3 linked regions of the Neodiprion lecontei genome follow. The protein of the gene in region 1 purifies or fractionates together with the protein of each later gene. This does not show direct contact. Links are inferred from orthologs where the notes say so. Each region holds a gene or a part of one and is shown on either strand. Other genes may lie near its edges.

Region 1 (7,698 bases):
CCTCACCTCGCCGCGCCTCGCTTCGGTTCACCACATCTCGCTTCCCCCTCGCGATCCGCTCTTCTCACACTATCTTTGTATGTAGATACTGTGCAGAGTAGGAAGAAGCAGACTATACGACGCGTCGCGCTGTTGCTACTGCTGCTGCAGCATGTTGCTGGTTTGTAAGACACGCGCACTACTTCCATTACGAAAACAACACCATCATCCATCCATCCATCCACCCGTCTGTCGGCCACCGATTAGCACGCGATTCTATAATAGTTCCATGCACCATTCTCATCAGAATTCATAATCAGATCCTGCACAGTCGTATGCTCGTAGAGCCAAGCTGCGCATAAAGCGCATTGAACATACCTGACGCAAAGTACGGAAGCTGTCAAGCCGTCAATCGTTAACTCAGGATTTGTGGAGGAAAGCATCACGAAGGAAACCAATGGAACGAGTTAGGTCACAGTTGTGCAGACGCGTTCGGTCTTAACCAACCGATTGAGGTATCCGGAACGTTATAAGTAGTTAGACATTAATTGTTACGTCTAACTACTTAGAAAATTATAACGGTGGTGAAAAATCGTGGAACTGAATTCTTCGAATATGATATCGCGGTGAGGCTCTTCAGCTAGGTTGAGAGAAAATGAGAAGTAGTTAGACATTATCACGTCTAACTACCTACCAAATTATACGGGCGATGAAAATTCTTGGAATTGAATTCCTCGAATACGATATGGCGGTGAAGCTCCGCGGCCGGTTTGAGTTTGAGGGATACCCGAAAAGTGCGGATGGATCGAAGGGATATACGCGCCGACGGCGCCCGCGAGCACGAATATTTAGGGCTTAATGTTATGCGGTATCTACTGGCGCACTCTGTACACGTGGGCACACGTATGTAACCAACACACGACACGGGGTGGGTAATACGGAGCTTCCAAGTCAAGCTACGCGCTGACGCGTATTTATGTGAAACAATATTTGTGTTGGCTTCAAAAAGCGGACCACTATATCTCCGTCTCGAAGACGGCCCCCGTCTTCGCCCGGCTCGTTGGTTGAGCCCAGCCGCTCGAATGGCGATCCTGCGAGATTATACTTGACCCTTGAAAATCTGAAAGATATCAAGACCGCTTCGTACCAATCAAAATGCGCCCAAATCACAATGGGCTACTTCTTGGAATGCTCGAGCAATCTTGGAAGCCCATAATGGTACCTATATGCAGTTGCTTAGAGATTGGAGCGGTAATCTTGCAATTCTGCAACCATGACGAAGCTTTCGGACGTGAAAGTGCTTTCCTCCAGCTTTGGTGATGATGGTTGGTAAAGAGCGTATGGCCGATTTATCGAACACACATTGCGAAAGCACAAACAACCGCAGGGTCTTCGGCCGGTATAAGGCACCCTATAAGTATAATACTTGAGCTTTCTAAGTTGCAACGTCGTCGTCGCGAGGAAGACGGTTGCGGAGTCGGTGAGACGGCGGCGGCGGCGGCGGCGGCGGCGGCAATCCATTAGGTAGGAATCCCCTGGCTCCCGGCAGACACACCCTGACGCTATCAAAACACGCCTTAAAACTTATATTCCATCGGATGTGCGCCGGTGGTTGTGAGAAAGCCGCGTACGTGAGATAGAATAACAGAACCGTTGCTGAGAGAGGGAGAGTGTGCGTAGCGTAGTTAGCAGCGCTGCAGAGCCCGCGATGTTCCCTGTACTTGGGGGAACCGTCCGTAGGGACGTTGACGCGTATGACTACCGCGTTATAATTATTGCCTTTTCCCACCGAGCCATCAACTCTCTGGGTATACTGTTCAACATTTTTGTCGCTGCACATTTCACATGCTGGAGGATGGTTCGTTAAGGGGTTATAACCAGTCGCAGGAGGCCGGAAAGGAGCGATTTTTCAAGGATTTTGCATCAAGAGACATTTCAATTTTGTTAACATACAAATTTATATACATATTGGGGTAACGTTGAAATTCATTCTGATATTTTTTATTGGTAAACGTAATGATTTTTAAAGCTGCTATAGCCGATCCGCGAGAGCAGCACGTAAAAATGGTGTCTTTCGACGAGCAAGATATCTCTGGACTGAATCGTCGGAAATGAAAAAACAAAAAAGACTCAGTTAATATAAGGTATTATCTAGTCTTTGATCGGAGGAATAAACAAAATATTAATTGCTAACAACACGGCGGCTTCTCAAACAAATAACAAATGCATTTTCCATAAAAAATTTCGCCTTAATTTCTTCATAAGATGGCAAATATTTATTAACGAGAAAAGGCTTCGATTAAAGACTGAAAGATATATTCACAAAGCTTGTGTAAAAATTTGAGACCGATCTTATCAGCCGTTTTCGAGAAACCTTGCTCACCGACTTTGAAAACATAGTTTTGAGAAAAAGGCGTTCATAGTTTCAAAAGCACTTTCAAACGCTCCGAGACGCCTTTGCAAACGTGCGCGTAACATCGAGAATATTTCTCGGGTCGACAAGAAATTTTCTGTGTATACACTTGAATATGTCTACATTACGAAATTGAAATTTTAAAAAATCGATTTTTGATAAATCTCGACTAGGTATAACCCCTTAATTACTCTAGCCTGCGGGACAACGTGCCCGTAAGCGACGGTCATCGGAACGGCTTGAATTACGATGAGAACTAGGTACGGGAAATTCCTAGGGTTTAGTGGGTGCAGAGGCGGTAGCTCGCTCAAAAAATAACCCATTGGTATATGGCAGTCTAGCCGCAGCAGAGCAACCGAGCCTGATGTATAATACGGTGAATGTGTGGTATACTGGAATTCCCCGCAGTGCCAGATGTTTATAAATCGAGCTCGAGTCTCAAATTGTTTAATATAACCCGCATAGTTACAGTCTTCCGTTGTTATTACAACGGCCGAGCGGGGGATGTAAAAGAAGTGTCAATTTATGGTAAACAATTCCGCCTAGTGGAGGAATCGTTAAATTGAGATATCACGCGCACATGATATACTGCAGATATGGCTGCTCCGAAAGTATCGAACTTTTTTTCATAATTATTCACGACATTCTATCCTGAGCGTTCTATTATATATTCGTTTAACGAATAATTGCCTCTTTATGGAATATCATGCATTCACGTTACCAGATTATTCAAAAAAAAAAATAAAAATGTTTCATAAAAATGAACTTCCCACGAGACATTAATGTGAAATTTTGAGCTAGAACGCCATTACAAAGGTCTTCTAAGTCACATAATCTTAAATTCATTTTTATGCTTAAATACACGTAACTTTCGAATTACCAATTTAATGAAGTTCAAAGTCATTCAAAAACTAGGTTTCAAATACGGGCCGGTTCCATATTCAAATTCGGATTTCATCACGAATGCCGGTCAAAGAATTGAGATTGATTGCGTGGTTTCGCCATCTTGCGTAAAAATTATAAGACTTGATTTACCGACGGGTAACGGAATCACAGATCAGTTCATCCAGGAGCGAAGGTAAATCGTCCAATTGGTAACTCTTGTTCTGACGTACCGACTGATACCGTCAACATTGTCACTCATAGAGCTGTACAGTTTATGGTCCAGAGCGTGGTCCAGAGCTGAAACAAAATCGCACGAGGTTAAGCAGCGTGGAGTCAAGTGTGGTTTCAATTTTTTGATTTATCGTTTCCGCGAGGAATATTATTGCAGAATGATCATTCCAGTGCGTTGTTTCACCTGCGGTAAAGTGATTGGCAACAAATGGGAAGCTTATCTTGGCTTACTGCAAGCAGAATATACGGAAGGGTAAGGACGCAACTTGCGAGCACGAACATAACCTATTCTATTCGGTGTCGAAAACATCAACAATAAATTTATCCTTAGAACTTGAATGAAAATTGTTCAACGTCTTTCGATACTCAATATATATGCAATACTACAATTTCGAATCGCCAAGTAGAAAATAATTAAAATATTCTTTCGGTAAATTCTCAATTAGAGTATCCAAACTCAGAACTGCCTTCAATTTTTTTCAGTGATGCCTTGGATGCCCTCGGCCTGAAGAGATACTGTTGCCGTCGCATGCTGCTTGGACACGTCGATCTTATTGAAAAATTATTGAATTATGCTCCGTTGGAAAAGTAACACATAGGAAATATTTGGGACAATGATTATTACAAAAGACAGTATAACTTTGTACAAGAATTCGGTTCACCTCTTGTCCATCGAGAAAGGTGGAAAGTATTCCATTGAACAAAATGATCACGAATGCCAGAATCGAATTCATTGCAAATAAAAAACATGCGAGGTTATTGAAAACAGGTCCTTTTTTTTGTTTTATTGAAAAAAAAATTGCTCAGCTTACATATACTTTGAATCGGTTACAATTGGTTATACCGGTCGTTTCTTCGAGTATCAACTATTCAAATATCGTAAAACATTCTTAGTTGTAACATCTTCATACATATAGTTTTCTATTTAAAGAAGAAATAGATCTTCATTCAATTTTGTAATCCGGATTTGTTAGAAGACTAATCAGTTGATTCGTATAAGTTGTAAATAATTATCAAACTATGATGCAGAAATAACAGTAATAGACTTCTAACGTATAGGGATTATTTTAGAAATAGACACCAAAAATATGACTTGGTATTGAATCAATTCAAAACTTTACAATTTATAAAAATTCCATGTATTGCTAACGCGAGAAATTTATTTATTGGTTTTTTCTATTTTCTTCTTTTTTTAAAAAATAACAAACGCTTCAATAACCTTATTATACTTTCTAATCCATAAAGGTATTTTCACATTTTCTCCCCCCCCCCCCTACCTCCTCGGTAAAATATCAAGACGATTTTGGCCTTAATTCATTCAGAAACAACTAGAAACTAAACAAAGCATAATTGTTTGTTTATTATCTAACAATATTGCAATTTTTATACTAAATCGCCGTTCGCGTTCTGCGAACTCGATTGTAGAAGATCGTATCTTGATTATTTAAAAAATAACTGCTTGAATGAAGTTCGTACAAAAACTCTTGAGTCTTAGGATTGTCTCTTCTATTTTCCTTGCACAACCTCGCATTAGTACCGACAATATTATTCATCTAATTGTCAATGATTTACCTTCTATTTAATTTTCATCCCCTGTTTTTCGCCTAATGATAATAATTTATTTACTCAACTTCCTAATACAAAAATAGATGAAATCTCTAATCTAATGATTCATTTAGAATTATTCGCATAACAGATCGTGTATGATCGAACAGTCCTAGTACCTATCACGGGTGAAAAAAATACTATATTTCATTATTATGATATACAAAAATTTTTTCCTATGGGTAATCTATTCCTTCGACTTTGATGTGATTGTAATGATGATGCGATGGTCTGTAGATGATGAGGCAAATATGGGGGCTGTCTTAGATAAATTTATCTAAGAATAATTGTTTTTTGTTTTTCAATAGGATTTGAAAAAAGAGCTTGAAATTCTCATTAATTGCGCGTTTACATTTAACGGTAGAGTTTGTTGACGAATAATTGATATTAAATATTAATCTTTTTCCGCCCCAATTTCATGTTTGCATAATAGATGACAAAAAAAAAAATGTTACGATTTCACTCAACGATTCGTTTACCGCCGACAAGCAAGTGTGCACAGTGTGAAAGAGCTTGAAAAATAGCGATAGTAGAATAGTGGAAAATAAATTTTACGAACTGTTATCAAAAACACGTGTAACATATTCGTAGCAAAATTATGAACAGTTAACAAAGTGTAAATCGAGGCAAGGCGTCGTCGCATAATTCAATTAAACAGTTATACGGATATGATTTACTTGAAGATGTCTAGTATGGCAGTGTAAGTTCCAAAGAGTAAAACCACCAGACCAAAAGAAGCCACGAGGATAGTTTTAACAATCAACCAATACCCTCGGCCAAATCCTTCGTCCCATCGAACAATCAGTTCGACGATTGGTGGCATGATAAGCCCCAGTATGGAGAAACACAGGGCGCCGATCAGTCCGACAAACGGCATTATCTTCGGTACTGCGACGGCCACTAATACTGAAATTAACAACGGTGGCGTGAGGCATGTATATAGGGCATTCCATGTCAAATTAGCAGCCCATGTACCCTACCTGATTCGATTCTGATCATGTTTTAGTATGATGTTCTTGTACCAATTCAAAACGATCTCAAGTTTTTTTTTTTTATTAGATTTTCTCTAGCCATTGGTGAAATTTATACAAAATTGCAAGCCATTTTTAAAAATCTTCGAAAATTCACACTGATCCTATGATTTGAAATGTGATTTTTAAGTAGCACACGATAATGGGATCTCAATATTTACTAAGTTTTAAGTTTTTCCATGTCGGATCCCCCCCCGCCTCGATCTATAAATAATTAGATTGCCGTATCACATTATTTTCATGATTCCGTGATCTATTTCGATTGGGGAATGGAGAAACTAAAAACTTACGAAAGAATAGTAAATACCGAGTTTCCATTATGGTGTGGTGCTTAAAAATTACATTTTCAGATTTAAAAAAAAAACGGAATTTTCGGAATTGATTTTTAAATTTTTTGAAAATTTCAGCGGTGGCTAAAAAAAATTTGAGAAAAATTCCGAGACCTTTTTGGGTCACTGTGAACATCGTACTAAAAAATGATTGAAACTGAAGATGATGAGGTATATATTGGCGGCTAATTTGACGTGGAATGCCCCATATGCAATCAATCGATTTAGAACGCCGAACAATGACGTAACGCTTAATTATTTGCACACTAACCAGCAGCCATTGCTAATCCTGTGCGAAGAAGGTAGTTTGCGATTTGCGGTTTCTTAAGGAAGCGTTCCTTTATACTGTTCCACGCGATTTCCAAGCACACGTAGAACTGCAGTCCGAATGTGCAGTAAACCGCGAGGGCGATCAGAACTTTGACAACTTGAGCAAGGCTGAAAATATACCCGATTATAAGTTATAATGATCAGCTCGACAGGTCAAATCGAATTCGAGAAGGCGATGAAACGGAGTGTTGAAAATCCTTACATGTCCTCTGGATTCAAATTCGTTATGATGTTTTCCTTGGTTCCATCTCTGTACGCTGCATACCCCATAAAACCGATCACCATGTATATCAGAGTTACGGCTGACATTCCCTGGTTCATAACTCCGCAAATACCGATGAATTGCTGGGGCGTTTTCATGTTGTTCTCAAGCGGCATTACAACACCTGAAATCATTAGTGTAGGTATACCGTACAGTATATATCATATTACATACTACACTACATTATACCCGGGACAATCTCTTGAAACTTGAAAATCAACCGCGCATGCGCGAGTTTTATCGGCTGTTCGTGCAGGCTGGCCATCCCGAGTTTCAGCCATCAAACTGTTTCTGGCGGCGATGTAGTTTATACGAATTTTCGAGGTTATAATCTCAAATAATTGAGGCAGTGACTCGGAAAGGTTTGCGAAGCTTTTGTTATTGGGTCGGAAAGCTGATTCTTCGAAGAACGGTCGGAACTTAATGCTTACGCTCTTTGAAAATTCAAACGTACACATTTTGTGTACGTTGGCCCGCCTGCATCGCAAACAAGAATATCGCTGCGGGAAGATTTCGCCGACCAATGAGATCGAATTATTTGGCGCATGCGCGGTTCATTTTCAAGTCTCAAGAGATCGTTCCGGTATATATATATAATACAGATTCTTTCGTAGATGTAAGTATGCGAATGAA
Region 2 (6,748 bases), on another chromosome or scaffold:
ATTGATATCATTTTGTGGTACTGCTCTGTGTTACAAATCAAAGTCGTCTAATTTAAATCCTCGAACCTGTATTGTGAATTATAAACTGAGCAATGAAACTTAGTCTGTCAAACTCAGAGTGAATAAATGAATTAAACTGAAAAAATGGATGAAAAAACATGCAGTAAACTTGAACACTGCAATTATTATATAATACTCAGTACAGATGATTCGAGTATATTTTTAATGCTTTATATGTAAATAATACGAGTTAAGAGTCACGCTATACTTTATAACAGAGCAGAAGACGTAATTCTAATGGTGGAAAATCTAATCGAGATCCGGGTGAAAAATCAGCATCCATAATTGAAGATCTCAACGAAAAATGTCTCGTTATAAATTCCATTGTTCATTAATGAAATAGCTTAAGTTTGATTATTATGGTGGAAAGCGCGTTTGCTAAAATCTATTTCCATGCCCTGTAACAAATTTTTTAATAAACATGTTACCTTAATAATATTCGCGTTGCACGAATAATCTCAATAACTATTTATGAAAAGAAAAAAAAAAAGTAAAATTATACTGACAATGGAAATACATTATGATGAAAGTTGTGTCAACATGAACCGTGATAGTGCTGTTCTTATTTCGCATAAAGAAGTCGATACCTTTATCCATATTCTATATAATACTTGAAGACTATTTAATTTAGGATCTTATAGGAAGAGAGTTGTTTTTTTCTATCATGAAGCCATCGTAATATTATTTCAGTAATACTTATGCAACTGTATCATGGGTATAGTTTGAAGTATACCTAAAATGTAATTGTATAATACGTGCATACATTTATAGCTACCAGCGGAATGTTATATTTTCCGTCGTTTGTAAATTCTCTAGTAAAAAATAATTTTGTTTTATTATAAAATTTGATTGAATAAAGTGGCAATGATAATTTTAGAAACTTACGAATTATTGAATATTCCGTCAACTAGTTCATTGCATTTAGGTATTTGCACATGCGTTTATAACGCATTCGTATTACTCTCCAATTTAAACTACGCGGGAATATTAGCACATGCACGAACTTCAGAGTATTTCCGAGTGGCGGCCATCTTGGCACTAATCGGCGAGTCGAACGACAATTGACAGTCGGCGGTAGAATTTCGTCAAGTTCGGACGTGCGCGTCGCGGATGTTAATTCGACTGTGCCTTGTGTTAAATCAAATATATATTTGAGTTTTTCTGTGTCTGCTGAAATAAGAGTCGTAGATAAATGAAATTATTCTTGGTTTACTCGATACGTGCAGCCTAAACTGAAATTCGCATGTTATGAATTCAACCTCTAGTTTTACATGGCCAAAACAAACGACTGCGTTGTTTGGTAGTCGTTGCTTGTTTTATTTTTTCATACTCACGATCGAAAATAAGTTAAGCCGTTAGAATCAACGCAGTGCAGTGATCTAATCTTACGAGCTGAAATTGGTTTTCAATAGTATAATATCATTTCATTCGTTTCGTGCTCCGTGTAATCGGTTCGTGACTATATTCAGTGTCAACTTTTTTTTCACAAATTTATTCGTGCGACTGTTCGAATTTGCTGTTACGTTTTTCGCAATCTAACGTGTAAGTGATAGTAAACCAGACTTGTTGAAGCGTTCGAAACAATTGCAATCAAGCCTCTGACACGTTATAAACAGTGAAATAGTGAAAGTGAAAAAACTGCGAGAATTAACTGTGGATTCGAATCTCTGGAAAACCTGGTATGGTCGTAAATGTGGAGTTGAGCAATGAGGGCTGACATGGTGTAGGCGATTGGCAATGGGTAAGTCTCGCACTTGTTTATGGATGTATGTACGTATGTATGTACGTACGTATGTATGTATGTGTGTATGCATGCATGTATGTATATATGTACATCTCTCAAGTAGAATCGCGTCAGGTCATTCTGTAGTAGGTGTATGAATTTACACGTTATTTTTGAACCACGGATGAAGCTTATTCATTTGAACCACAGTGTATTTAATTCACATCTGCGATTTGAAAGCCAATGCAAATTCGGTACTTGACTACGCGAATCTTGGTATTCAATCAGTAAGTATAATCATCTTTGTTCAAGGTTTGACCTGAAATAAAAACCTGAAGAACACGATAAATATGATTACTCGAGTAGAGCATAGGCGACTTGTATTTGAGTAATCGCTGGTCAAAAACCAAGTCCACTAATTTAAGGGGGGACTGTGGTAAAATTTTGATAATATGGTGTTTTAGATTTTTAAAACAGCTCAAAAAAATGTGATCGAAAATTCCACCTAACAAAATTTAGATTACGGTAGCATGTGTGCAGAAAAAATTTTTTAATCTCCTGCGATGAAAGTCTATGTGCAAGGAACTTTTGGCAGAAAATTTCCAGCGTAACACTCCCAAAAGTTCCTTGCGCATACACTTTCATCGCAGGTGATTAAAAATTTTTCTCTGGACACATACTACCATAATCTAAATTCTGCTGGAAGGAATTTTCGATCACCTTTTGTTTATCTGTTTCAAAAATCAAAAACTTGATATTATCAAAATTTCACCGTATTCTCCCCTTAACAGAGACAAAACATGCACATTTGAAGTTGATAGCCGTTGACTGTATGCCAACTATAATTTTACGAATGTCCGACAGGTTGTCTAATTCGTAAATAACATGCATACAAGTTGTCTGTAAATTGTCTGTCACGATAAAAAATTATTCGAGAGAAACTTATTTGAAAGTTCACTATTTCTAAGATTTTTTTAATCCCATCAATGTATATTTTGCCATAATAAGTTTTTACTTGATCTCTTGGACATTTGAATGGTTGATATGGCTTTGACGAATTAGGCTTACTGATAGGCCATTCTAATATTGCATGACGTTATTTTTGAGGATCCAGCCTCCATTCGAGCGTTACGTATTATTGGAGGACCCCTCAAACATTTTCGTACATGATACTGTCAAGAATCCGTGAAATATAAGTTTGAACAATGATGGCATTGTTTCGAGTGATTTATTTCACAGCTACACAAATAACCATTCTCAATTATTATGTACACAAATCGCGCCCTTTGTGCGTCGTTTTTCACGTATTCTGACAGCGCACATATCCATGAAAATTGTTTTTCATCTTGATAGCCAATATTTTATGTTACCTAATAACTTTCGAATTTAACCGCGCCTTTTGCGCGTGGACTTGATTCCTGACGGTCTTGAAGACGAGTTAAGTCGATCACCTCGTGGATTTCCCCCACGTCCATTATACACACGGCGCCGTCGCATCGTCGCATCACTCAAAGAATTTTCGTTCTGTCGTTTATCACGTGTCTGTTAGTAATCCAGTAATAACATGCAAAAAAAGTGAATAATTTCGCGTGTGGTATACAATTTAAATAGGTAAGTTTAAACATAATTCATTGTTACATCATTTTGCCTTTGTGGACAAATAATTCATCGAATTTCTACAGTCCTAACCTCCCTGTATGCGAACTTCTTATTTCCTAAATTCCCATTTTTCAGATGTGATATGCTGTTATTTTGTCCAACCTGTGGAAATATTTTACATGTCGAATCGGGAGTGGCGAATTACCGATTTGCGTGCAATACCTGCCCTTACATTTTTAATATATCGCAAAGAATAACAAGTCGGACTTATCCAAAGCTCAAGGAAGTAGACGACGTTTTAGGTGGCAGCGCTGCGTGGGAAAACGTCGATGCGACAGATGAACGCTGCCCTAAATGCTCGCATTCTCGGGCCTACTTCATGCAGATACAGACAAGATCTGCCGACGAGCCAATGACCACATTTTACAGATGCTGCAATCCACAGTGTAGTCACAATTGGCGAGATTAATTGTACGTCTTTAATTTCATTGGTTTTTGGAGGCGATAAATATTGAGCAATCACTTCTACAATTCAAATCTGTGTACATCATTATTTTAATGAGAATTTGAGTACAGAACATTTTAATGGTTATTTTACCAGAGATTCTTATACAACTATTCACGTAGAGATAAGACTGAAAATTTTCAGGACTCGTCGATCAATTTACTGTCATAATCAAGAAGAATGTTGAAATTATTTCGCAGCAGACCAACGATGAGTTCTGATGAAGTAAGGAAAAAAACCATGGGTCCAGTGAAACAAACATTGAGGTCGCTCGAGACGCAGCTAAAAAATCTACACCCCGGTATTTCAGGTATCGGGTTTGCTTATGGATCAAAGAATGTGGCTATGGCCGTTCGCTTGCTTCAAGATAAACACGTCATAGCGTTGCCCACGGATACCGTCTATGGCTTGGCAGGATTGGCTCAAAGTAATGAATCTGTTAAAAAGTTGTATGAAATTAAGCAACGAGATCCTTGTAAACCGCTGGCAATTTGTGTCGGTGAAATTGTGGATGTAAAATATTGGGGTATCGTCGATTCTCTGCCAGATGGATTGTTGGAAGCGTTATTTCCTGGACCTGTGACGTTAGTTTTAAAACGTACACCAAAGCTGAACCCGCTATTTAATCCTAATGTGCAAAATGTGGGAATAAGAATTCCCGATGCAAAATTTATCAGAGATATTTCTAAAAGACTGAGGGAGCCGTTGGCTTTAACAAGTGCCAATGAGAGCAACAAGCCGAGCACGATACACCCGGAAGAATTTTCGGCATTGTGGTCGCATTTGGGAGGTGTTTTTTATCCAGATGAAAGAGTCACAGGCAATGGATTGGCAAGAGCTGGGTCTACTGTTGTCGATTTATCTCAGCCTGGCGGATATTCTATAATTCGTAAAGGAAGCGCTGAATTCGAAACTGTTCAAGTTTTGAAAAGCTTCCAGTTAGTAGATTGTGATGATAAACATTGATGAATGTATGAACTCGATTGTGAGAAATAGCGAAAATTACATTTCCATGATACTATGATTTTGTTTTCAGAAATCATTGTTATAAAAAACTACAAATATTTATGTTAAAATTTTTTTCTTTAAAATACAGTCTAAACAAAGAAAATATTCTGTCAATTTGTTTCCTCCAATTCGTGCTGAATAACAAAAGCTGGATAGAAAATGATATCAAATACATAAAAATTTTTTAGAGAATGACAAATATGAAAATCTCTGTGTGCGTTGCAGGCTAATATATTTCCGTAACCGCGTTGTATTGTTTGTCAGTTTGAATTATTGAAACGAATTCCATAAATCAAGATTATTTACTTTCCAATGCATATTGAAACAGGGGTTCGAGAGCTAATCAATTTACAATGCACAAAATGATTACACAGTTGATGATATCGTTTATTTCTGAATAATATAATAATGAACTGGATCGGCTCGGCATTAGCAAAATGTTCGGAGTGTAGTGCATAGGTATTATCATTGTGGTCTTTTATTCAATATTTATTTTGCAGCTTTGAACAATTATGCTAATAGTAAAATCAAGTAGCAACATTTATTCGTAATCGATAACAATAATAATAATCGCGCTTATTTTTGCTCAAATTCATTAGTTATGTGTCAGTTTTAAAACCAGTATGATATTGCTCATTGACTGATTAGGTGTCAGTGTAGATGTCAATGCGATCAGAATATTTTTAAAACTAGCTACATATGTAGGAGCCTTTACAAGATCACTATAGATATTATTAATTAAGCTGCAAATAAACATACACTGGTTCAAGAAAATACAATTATAGTGTCTTTTGTTTGGCATAATATAGTACAGTACAGTTTGAGAAAATCATTGTATCATTTACATTGCTATATCAACTGCTGACGACTCTTTCATTTTTCTTATAGCATTCGCTATTTAAATAATTTATAAACTCGTGAGCTAGCTAAATATTGTCATACTTGACATAGATAATGTACAATCACATTTGCCCAATGTCAAACTTATTTTTTTTAACGACTCATGTCGAGCTATCCGCTATTATTATTCTACAAACTGTATAATTGGGGAATAGAAATTGCAGCAGCAAAAGGCATTGAATTTCTTGTTAACCTTTCAGAAAGTCTTTTAAAGAATTCTTTTTAAGGGACCAGCGAATTTCTGATCGCAAGTCAACAAGATAAACGTGCAAAAATATATTACAATGCAGATTATGAACAGAAAATGCTTAGTACAAATGCTAATATAACCATTTTCGAATATTAACAACGCGCAGTTGGAAATTTATTCAAATATCGAAGGCCCTTTTTGAAAAATTTGGACAGTCTTATTCTATTCTACGACAGACCAATTATCGCCTAAACTAGATTGAAATATAATTACAATTTTATTTCCTTGAACGAACGCTTAGCTTTTGTCCGATTGAGGAAATTACATCGATACATAATTCTTAATTCACAGCCTATTCCAACTCATATTATACATAGCAAAGCCATAATATATGGTTCTGAATTTCAAAATCTCATCATTATTTTATGTAGATTTTTTTTAAAGACATCGTTTACTTGGTGTAAAGCGGTGAACACTGTGACTTACATATTATCTGAGAGATACAAAAAAGGGGAAAAACTATTCTTGTAATCAAGTGATAGTGTCCATATTCTAGAATGTCATTCAATATTGAATACCCAGTATAATAAATACTTAAAGTATTGTCGTTATGACAAGCTACGTGTTACGTAATGAACCAAACAATCCAGACAATAATAAGTTCGAATATATGGGATGATGCTAACTTAATGGCGGAAGGTCTCTTAAAAAATAATTAAGCTTGAAAGTCATTCGTATTTTTAATGCATTTGCGTAATGAAAC
Region 3 (7,849 bases), on another chromosome or scaffold:
TCACGAAAAATCTTACGAAACGGCTTCGAGAGAATCCTCAGGGCCGGTTAGTACATAATTTTCTTAATAAATGAGGAAACACTAAGAATGATGTTGGAATCTCCCACACCCGTCACTTGAGGCCACGTCACTTTGAAGAACGCGTACGCAGGCAAACTCTCGGGCAGATCAATCGTTCTCTCTGGTTGTAACTAGAATTTTAGCCTCTGAGAGTTGGCCGTCCGATTTCTCTGTCATACGACTGCTTCGCCTATGTTCATCGGTCTCGTTGATGACTTCGTGATTTCGTGTTTGTCAGTTGCCGAGATAAATGGTTCGTACCTAACGTTTGTTTAATTTTCATAGGTCTCAACGCAAACCCAAAACCAAGTTTCTAAATTAAGTAATCAATCGTAACTCTGCGTCGTTGTATTTTTCGGATTTTTGTCAAAATTTCGTTTAATACGAGGGAGACGATATTTCGGAGGTTGGCTTTGACACAGAGTTGTTGGAAATACCTTATTCCAAATTCTTGGGTCTATACGACATACGTGACCGGAATGTAAAACCAGGTGTCTTTTTGCTCTAAAATTAGGGTCAGAATCAGTCGGGAACAGGAGGTACGGGAGGGGACAAGAAGGATGACAAAGACAAGAAGAAGAAGTACGAGCCCCCAATTCCTACGCGCGTAGGAAAGAAGAAACGACGAACCAAGGGACCGGACGCTGCGACAAAATTGCCCCAAGTCACGCCCCACACCAGGTGTCGCCTGAAGCTCTTGAAGTATGAAAGAATCAAGGATTACTTGTTGATGGAGGAGGAGTTCATTAGAAATCAGGAGCGACTTAAGCCGCAGGAAGAGAAAAATGAAGAGGAGAGATCCAAGGTCGACGATCTTAGAGGAACGCCGATGTCGGTTGGGACATTGGAGGAAATAATTGACGACAATCACGCCATTGTTTCTACATCTGTAGGGTCCGAGCATTACGTGTCGATTTTGTCATTCGTTGACAAAGATCAGCTGGAGCCAGGATGTTCTGTTTTATTGAATCACAAGGTGCACGCCGTTGTTGGCGTCCTTGGCGATGACACGGATCCGATGGTAACAGTGATGAAGCTCGAGAAAGCCCCGCAAGAAACATACGCCGATATCGGAGGTGAGCTTTTGTATTTTTCAAGCGACGTATCATATATCTTCTCAGAAGCATGCACTGACATCATATTTCTTTCCCAGGTTTGGATACACAAATTCAGGAAATCAAAGAGTCGGTCGAATTGCCCCTCACTCATCCGGAATATTACGAAGAGATGGGAATCAAGCCCCCCAAGGGTGTTATACTCTACGGTTTACCGGGAACGGGTAAAACTCTTCTGGCCAAAGCAGTGGCCAATCAGACATCTGCGACTTTCCTGCGTGTTGTTGGTTCAGAATTGATCCAGAAGTATCTAGGGGATGGCCCGAAACTTGTCAGAGAGCTATTCAGAGTTGCTGAGGAACATGCTCCTTCTATCGTATTCATAGATGAAATTGACGCTGTTGGTACAAAACGATATGACAGCAACAGTGGAGGCGAAAGAGAAATCCAGCGTACTATGCTGGAGCTACTAAACCAACTTGACGGTGAGTAAAAGATTTTGTCTCCATACTGACAGAGAGTCAGTAAAATAACTATTTGTATCTTCAAGTGCTTGATGATGTGCTGATGTTTTACCGCTTATCGGCACTATGTGCAAAAGTGCTAATGTGAATCAATTATTCAAATGGACAGGCTTTGACAGTCGTGGAGATGTCAAAGTAGTGATGGCAACTAATAGAATCGAAACTTTGGATCCGGCACTAATTCGACCCGGACGTATCGATAGAAAGATCGAGTTTCCCCTGCCAGATGAAAAAACCAAGAGGAGAATCTTTAGCATTCACACAAGTAGAATGACATTGGCACCAGATGTAAACCTGGCAGATCTCATCATGGCTAAAGATGACCTATCCGGAGCTGACATAAAGGTGATTATTTTGCAGTAAAAGTAAGATTCTTTGTATGGGTAAAAATGGAAAGTTATAGTTAACTTTTCCCATAGGCGATCTGTACCGAAGCTGGTCTCATGGCTTTACGAGAGCGCCGTATGAAGGTAACCAGCGACGACTTCAAGAAATCCAAGGAGAGTGTGTTGTACCGCAAGAAGGAAGGATCGCCTGAAGGATTATATTTATAATTTAATTTTTCGCTTTCCCTTGTATTTTTTATCAATCGTAATAATACGAAATTCGAATAAATAAATTTTCTTTAACTCAACCAACTTTTGTCAACTATTAATTGATTGGGTTAACTTTACAGGTACAGGACATAATGCTACAAAACTGCATTGTTGATACATGTTACGTGTTTGCTTGTCAATTCGTCAAATTGATGCTGCAGCGTCTCTAGTATCCTTGTAGAATATTTCTTCTGACCATTTCTTATATCCTGCAGCGGCATTTTAACGAAATCATCTGTCTTTACTTTGCTCTTCGTACTTTCATTGCAGACGTAGCAAGCCCCTCGCCTTGTCTTTTCAAGTACATCATCTGTAGCTGGTAGAGTTTGAGAGTCGTTACTCATGGCTGTTGCCAGCCCCTTGTATTTTCCTAATACGAAGGCAGTTTCGAAAGCGTCTTTGTAACCGATGTCAAAACCTTCTTGGAAAACTGATTTCTTTCCTTCTTCAACTCCTTCCCTATAACCGGCCTGAGAAAGTTGATGGACTGTGATCAAGTAATGTTGATTGAAATTCTCGTCATTTCACTACCAGAGAATTCTTACCTTAATTGCTCTATTTATAACTCGATTCCAATTTCTTTCGGAAAGCTCTACTGAATGCTCAATTTCCTCACAGTCATCCATTTCAAGGTTATGTTTCCAATCACTTGACAGTGTCACATAAGTCCCGGGATCTGACACAATCTGTACGATTATTCATTCGATGTACGCATATTACATAATTTATCAAAAATTTGCAAACTGTGTAAGCGGGAGTAAAGTAGTAATTGTAGGGTAGTTCCTCTTTGTTATTCGGAAAGAGAAGAGCAAAGTGTTTAATAATCAATTAAATGCAACTGTTGGTACTTGTTTGTACGACATTACGCCTGATTATATGCGTAATTAAAGGTGTTTTATAAAGCGCCCAATTACATGCAACCAAACGTACACCAAGAACGCCTGATAATGCCCAAGCATGCAACATGCATTTCTCCACATAAAATTCAAAATAGTTATGAATTTATTAATTGAACAAAAATGAAAATAGGAATAGCATGGAGCGTCCAACGTGGGCGAAATGTCGAGAGTACTGAGTCTCGGATTTTAGCTATCCCCTCAATTCCTGTAAATGAAATAAATTGATTATCATGAACAAATCGTTCACGTGACTTGTGTATTTTACCAAATCAGTGGCAATAGTAAGCCCTTTTCCTACAGGGGGCGTACGTCACGTGGGTTCGTCGCCGCAGCCACACGTGTTCGTTGCAAGGTTCGATGGCAATTCATTGCATTGCTTCTAATTCGTTCGTAAGATTTTGAGTCAACGATTAATTATCAAATACTAATGGATGTCAGAGGAGAATTCTCTAGTGAGCGAGAAATAAATAGAATTGTCGATGTGGGTGAATCGCCAGAATTTATCGAAGAAAAGTATGATGCTTTAAGATTAATTGTCAAATAACTGTCAAACAGACCGTTAATAACGTAATAAATAGATAACAATTAACTGTCAAATAGACCGGATATAGCAGCAAATGTTTGTTACGCTTTCAAAGCTCCATAGTTTTCTAACTTTGTATAATGAAATTGAAGGGAACCTGTTAAACGAGATTTTTTGTGCAACAGTGTAAGAGGTACAGCTTTGATTTCAGGATTATCTCCTTGGCTCAAGCAAAGCCGAAGGGCATCTCGGATAAAGACATATCTGCTGAGATTCCAGATCTGGCACCGGCGCGGAAGGCGGCAGCGATAAACAAGCTATTGGCTCAGGGATACTTTGACTTATTCAAGCAGGGTGGAACTCTTCTTTACCGTTTGAAAGATCCGAGCAAGGCTAAATCGGTTAAAGGGGCAGACAACGAGGAGAAAGTTGTTTATAATATAATCGAAGAGGCTGGGAACAAGGGGATATGGATACGCGACATCAGGTTCAAATCCAATTTAATGCCGACGCAGCTGAATAAAATTTTAAAAAGTTTGGAAACTAAGAAGTTCATTAAAGCTGTAAAGTCGGTAGCGGCTAGCAAGAAGAAGGTATATATGCTTTACAACTTGGAGCCTGACAGATCTGTGACCGGAGGCGCGTGGTACCAGGATCAAGACTTTGAGGCAGAATTCGTCGATATTCTAAACCAGCAGTGTTACAGATTTTTGGAGCAAAAAAAAGACAGTACAAAAAACTGCAAGGACGGTCCTATCGGTGCAAGAAATATAGCTTTTGCGTCGTCGAAAGAAGTTTGGAAATTCATTTCCGATCTGGGAATAAGCAAGGTACGGCAACGGGATACCTTTCACTAACTTTTTGCTGTTACTCCTCGATAATACTTTGACTAAATAAATGAAACGATAATATTGCAGGTTAAGCTTTCCGTGGAGGATCTGGAAATGATTTTGAATACCCTTATCTACGACGGCAAAGTGGAAAGAACTCTGTCAAGCGACGGAAGCAACTTGTACCGAGCGGTCGAACCGTTGCTCAGCCCTCCAGGATTAATTAGAACACCTTGCGGTGTTTGTCCGGTATATTTAATGTTGTATAATAAACGAGAAGCGACGAATGATCGTTGAGCATCTTTGAGGTATACTGTATTTTGCTTTCAGGTGAGAAAAAACTGCTGCGACGTGGGAGAAATAACGCCAAAGAAATGTCACTACATCAAGGAATGGTTGGAGTGAAGTTTTGACATCGAAATTCGCGTTGAATCTGTGTATAAATATAGATCCATGAAATGTGAATTTCCGTTTATTCTGCTCTTATTCGAGATCCATCTCTGTAAGCCTGTATTGTACAATTAATTCGTAAACTGCACGGTACGCGTAGTGTCAAAGATGAGAAACAAGGTGGTCGATTGTTGCCGAAATTTTATTCTCCATGATTATAGCAGAGCGTTTCTCCCATGGGGACTATACAAGGAGCACGAAGTCCATGCAACCAAATAGCTGCCTGAAGTAAGATGGCACTGATGTTCCGTATGCACCGAAGGTATTGGACGGATTATAAGGCAGTAGTGAAAACTTTCTACAGATCACAACGCAAGATCACCGATCATTCGATCTTACAATTAGCATCCTTGCAGCCAGAGACAATTCGGTACAAAAGGGACGCTGGCGACGCTAGTGGTACAAAAAACAAACCTGACGTGAACGATTACTATGACAAGTTTTGTCAATTCACCCATTGAGTTCGTGCTCCATGGTCTCTCCCGCCAAATGGCCCCCAGGCGTTTCGGTTTCAAGAGGGACGCAGACGCAAAACGCGGTATCCGGTGAGTCTTGCCAGGTGTGCGCGCTTTCCGAGACACCGTTAAATCGCGCCTTGTCATGAATTTGTACATTTTTATTGAAAAATCGCTTATTCGTCATCCCCGAGGATAGTTAGAGGGTTGCGTAGCGTCCTCGGCAAGACGGTTGTGCGTCCAAGTGGAGATTTAAGGGCGACGGGCGGCCGAAGCGGGGCTGCGGGACGTGTATAATCGGCCAGAACGTAGATCACTTGAGATTGATTTCTGCGGAGAGAGTGTTTCGTGACGAATTAACAAGTCGGGTCAGCTCGCGCCAGCGTCGTCATGCCTCTCCTACGCAAGAAGCTTTTTCACAAGTTGCACGTCTCCTCCGATTTCCGCGACGACGACGAGGTTTTCCACTGCGAGGCGACCAACGAGATCTTCAAAGATTACAAGTTAGTGTTTGACAGCTCGATCATTTTCACCTACGGACAAACGCACTCGCCGCATTTTGTTCTGTAACGTCTCCGACGTCTTCTCCTGCTTTTCAGTGAATTCTGCGAAAGAATTATTCTCTGCAACTCACTCGTCTGGTCCTGTAGTATCACAGGAAAGCCGAATTTCACTTACCAAGAGGCATTGCTCAGCGAGGAAAATGCGAGAAAGAGTCTCAAGGAATTTCCCATGGAGGTAATACACATCAAATGCAACATACACATTCTTCTAACATACCTTTGCTTGGGCAGCAACGAACTTCTTCGAAGCCCCAAGATTCCACTTTTTTTCAGTCACGATCGCTAGGTTTTTTTTTTCTCTTACACCCCCACGACTTTACTAAATCCGAGTGTTTCTTTTCGTGTGAACATAGAAGCTTGATAATGATATTCCGATGAAAGATGTGCCTCGAACGGAGGAAATCCAGTCTGTGATTATACACGTTTTACAAATAACTGCAACATAACCTAGTAATTGAAAATTGTTTATCTGACAATTGATCTTGACTTCGCCGCATAATGCATTGTATTGCATTACGTAACCTGGTTTTAGATTATTACCAGAATCTCGATAACAGTGTCTGAGGTTTAAATTACGTTTGGGTCTTGATTGCAGTTGCGAATTCCAATCTTATACCTGGCGAGCAAAACAAACAGGACTTCACTTAATGAAATGGTCGAGGATGTTTATCAATTCGCACGAGACAGATACTTTGTAGGAGAAATGGTCGAGGCCAGTTTTACCGAAGATGCCTGGTGCGAGTGTCACGTTTTACAGGTCATCGAGCCTACCAAGCAACAGATTAATTCTTACGTAAAAGAAAATAACAGGTATTTGTCAAATCTCGGTTTGGGCAATGGCTTGTCGTTCTTGACCTAACTAGGTGTCTTCTTATCTCCTTGTCTCTTCTTTTAACCATTTACACAAAGAAGCATGCTGGAAAGACAGTATCAACCTCCGGCAAAATTATTTCGCTACGAAGTGGAGCAGTTTGATTGCGGAGGTGACACAGACGTTAGCCAGCTCATGATAGTTGAGGCTTCACAGGTGCGACGACGCAAACAACACTACAGCAGAGAAAGGAATAAGATATTCTTGCGACAACTCTGCGAGCAAGGCGAGACTGGCATATGGATGGTCAAGGTAATCTGTTCAATTTGCTTCATTCTGTGTAATATTTGAATTCGCTTGTTGATTTATTTATTACTAGAGAGGTTCAATAGTCGTTGACAGAATATCTATAAACTCAACCAAGAATGTCAAACGACGTTTCATCTAATGCAATGACTTTGTGACAGATATTTGTGAATGAAACCTCGAATTGGCGTCAGATAATTGGAACAAGCTGACTCATAATTCTACAAATAGATTTGTATTAAGCCTGTAGAAAAATTGACTCAGCATCAACTGGACATTACGGTTGGCATACAGTATTTGTTCTGCCTACATGTTTTGGTTTGCTTGTTGCAGGAGAATGTCTTACAAAAGTATGGCATTCATAAGACTCGATTCGATACGATATTTGCTGGACCCATGCCAGACTTTTCTCCACGTCTCAAGAAACCTATCAAGCACAAGCAGGAGTCTATAGCGAAGTTTCTTACTCCAGATATAGCGAAACATAGGGTCTTTGATAAGCCAGATCCCTTGAAGAAAATAAACGACAGCGGAATAATCGGCAAGAAATCAAAGAAACAAAAGTAAGTTGAAACGTTGAGGACTTGTATGAATTTCCAGATATTTTTTTTTTCCTCACTTTTATGATAACAATCAACTGGAGTTTCACTTTCGTGATACCTTACAAATTTATCACAGTTAATTGTCTGTGCAGGATGAATGGTAAATTTAAAGAAGATCTGAAAGCTAAAGCTCTGGAAGAAAAAGCTCGCCTGAAAGAAGCGAGGCTCGAAGAAC

What was found.
Region 2: the proteins of DNA-directed RNA polymerases I, II, and III subunit RPABC5 (region 1) and DNA-directed RNA polymerase III subunit RPC10 purify together in Homo sapiens (affinity purification with mass spectrometry; 3 studies listed by BioGRID and IntAct, with this or other methods). This does not show direct contact. The link is inferred for Neodiprion lecontei from reciprocal best matches to the Homo sapiens genes POLR2L and POLR3K.
Region 3: the proteins of DNA-directed RNA polymerases I, II, and III subunit RPABC5 (region 1) and probable DNA-directed RNA polymerase III subunit RPC6 purify together in Homo sapiens (co-immunoprecipitation; 3 studies listed by BioGRID and IntAct, with this or other methods). This does not show direct contact. The link is inferred for Neodiprion lecontei from reciprocal best matches to the Homo sapiens genes POLR2L and POLR3F.

What each region holds. Positions count from the first base shown.
Region 1 is NC_060261.1:2,107,570-2,115,267, forward strand, and holds DNA-directed RNA polymerases I, II, and III subunit RPABC5, read left to right. Parts: upstream 1-3,559; 5' UTR 3,560-3,666; coding exon 3,667-3,761; intron 3,762-3,991; coding exon 3,992-4,100; 3' UTR 4,101-5,235; downstream 5,236-7,698. Other genes in the region: proton-coupled amino acid transporter-like protein pathetic, read right to left, coding at 5,787-6,019, 6,745-6,911, 7,006-7,189. UniProt on the Homo sapiens protein: DNA-dependent RNA polymerase catalyzes the transcription of DNA into RNA using the four ribonucleoside triphosphates as substrates.
Region 2 is NC_060260.1:9,403,521-9,410,268, reverse strand, and holds DNA-directed RNA polymerase III subunit RPC10, read left to right. Parts: upstream 1-3,247; 5' UTR 3,248-3,394; intron 3,395-3,517; 5' UTR 3,518-3,524; coding exon 3,525-3,851; downstream 3,852-6,748. Other genes in the region: yrdC domain-containing protein, mitochondrial, read left to right, coding at 4,098-4,853. UniProt on the Homo sapiens protein: Core component of RNA polymerase III (Pol III) which synthesizes small non-coding RNAs using the four ribonucleoside triphosphates as substrates. Can mediate Pol I proofreading of the nascent RNA transcript.
Region 3 is NC_060266.1:591,314-599,162, forward strand, and holds probable DNA-directed RNA polymerase III subunit RPC6, read left to right. Parts: upstream 1-3,478; 5' UTR 3,479-3,561; coding exon 3,562-3,647; intron 3,648-3,868; coding exon 3,869-4,487; intron 4,488-4,574; coding exon 4,575-4,736; intron 4,737-4,817; coding exon 4,818-4,892; 3' UTR 4,893-4,952; downstream 4,953-7,849. Other genes in the region: 26S proteasome regulatory subunit 4, read left to right, coding at 311-313, 575-1,136, 1,214-1,600, 1,749-1,984, 2,059-2,193; uncharacterized protein LOC107216885, read right to left, coding at 2,331-2,705, 2,781-2,861; bromodomain adjacent to zinc finger domain protein 1A, read left to right, coding at 5,783-5,895, 5,992-6,130, 6,551-6,765, 6,865-7,078, 7,406-7,635, 7,767-7,849. UniProt on the Homo sapiens protein: DNA-dependent RNA polymerase catalyzes the transcription of DNA into RNA using the four ribonucleoside triphosphates as substrates.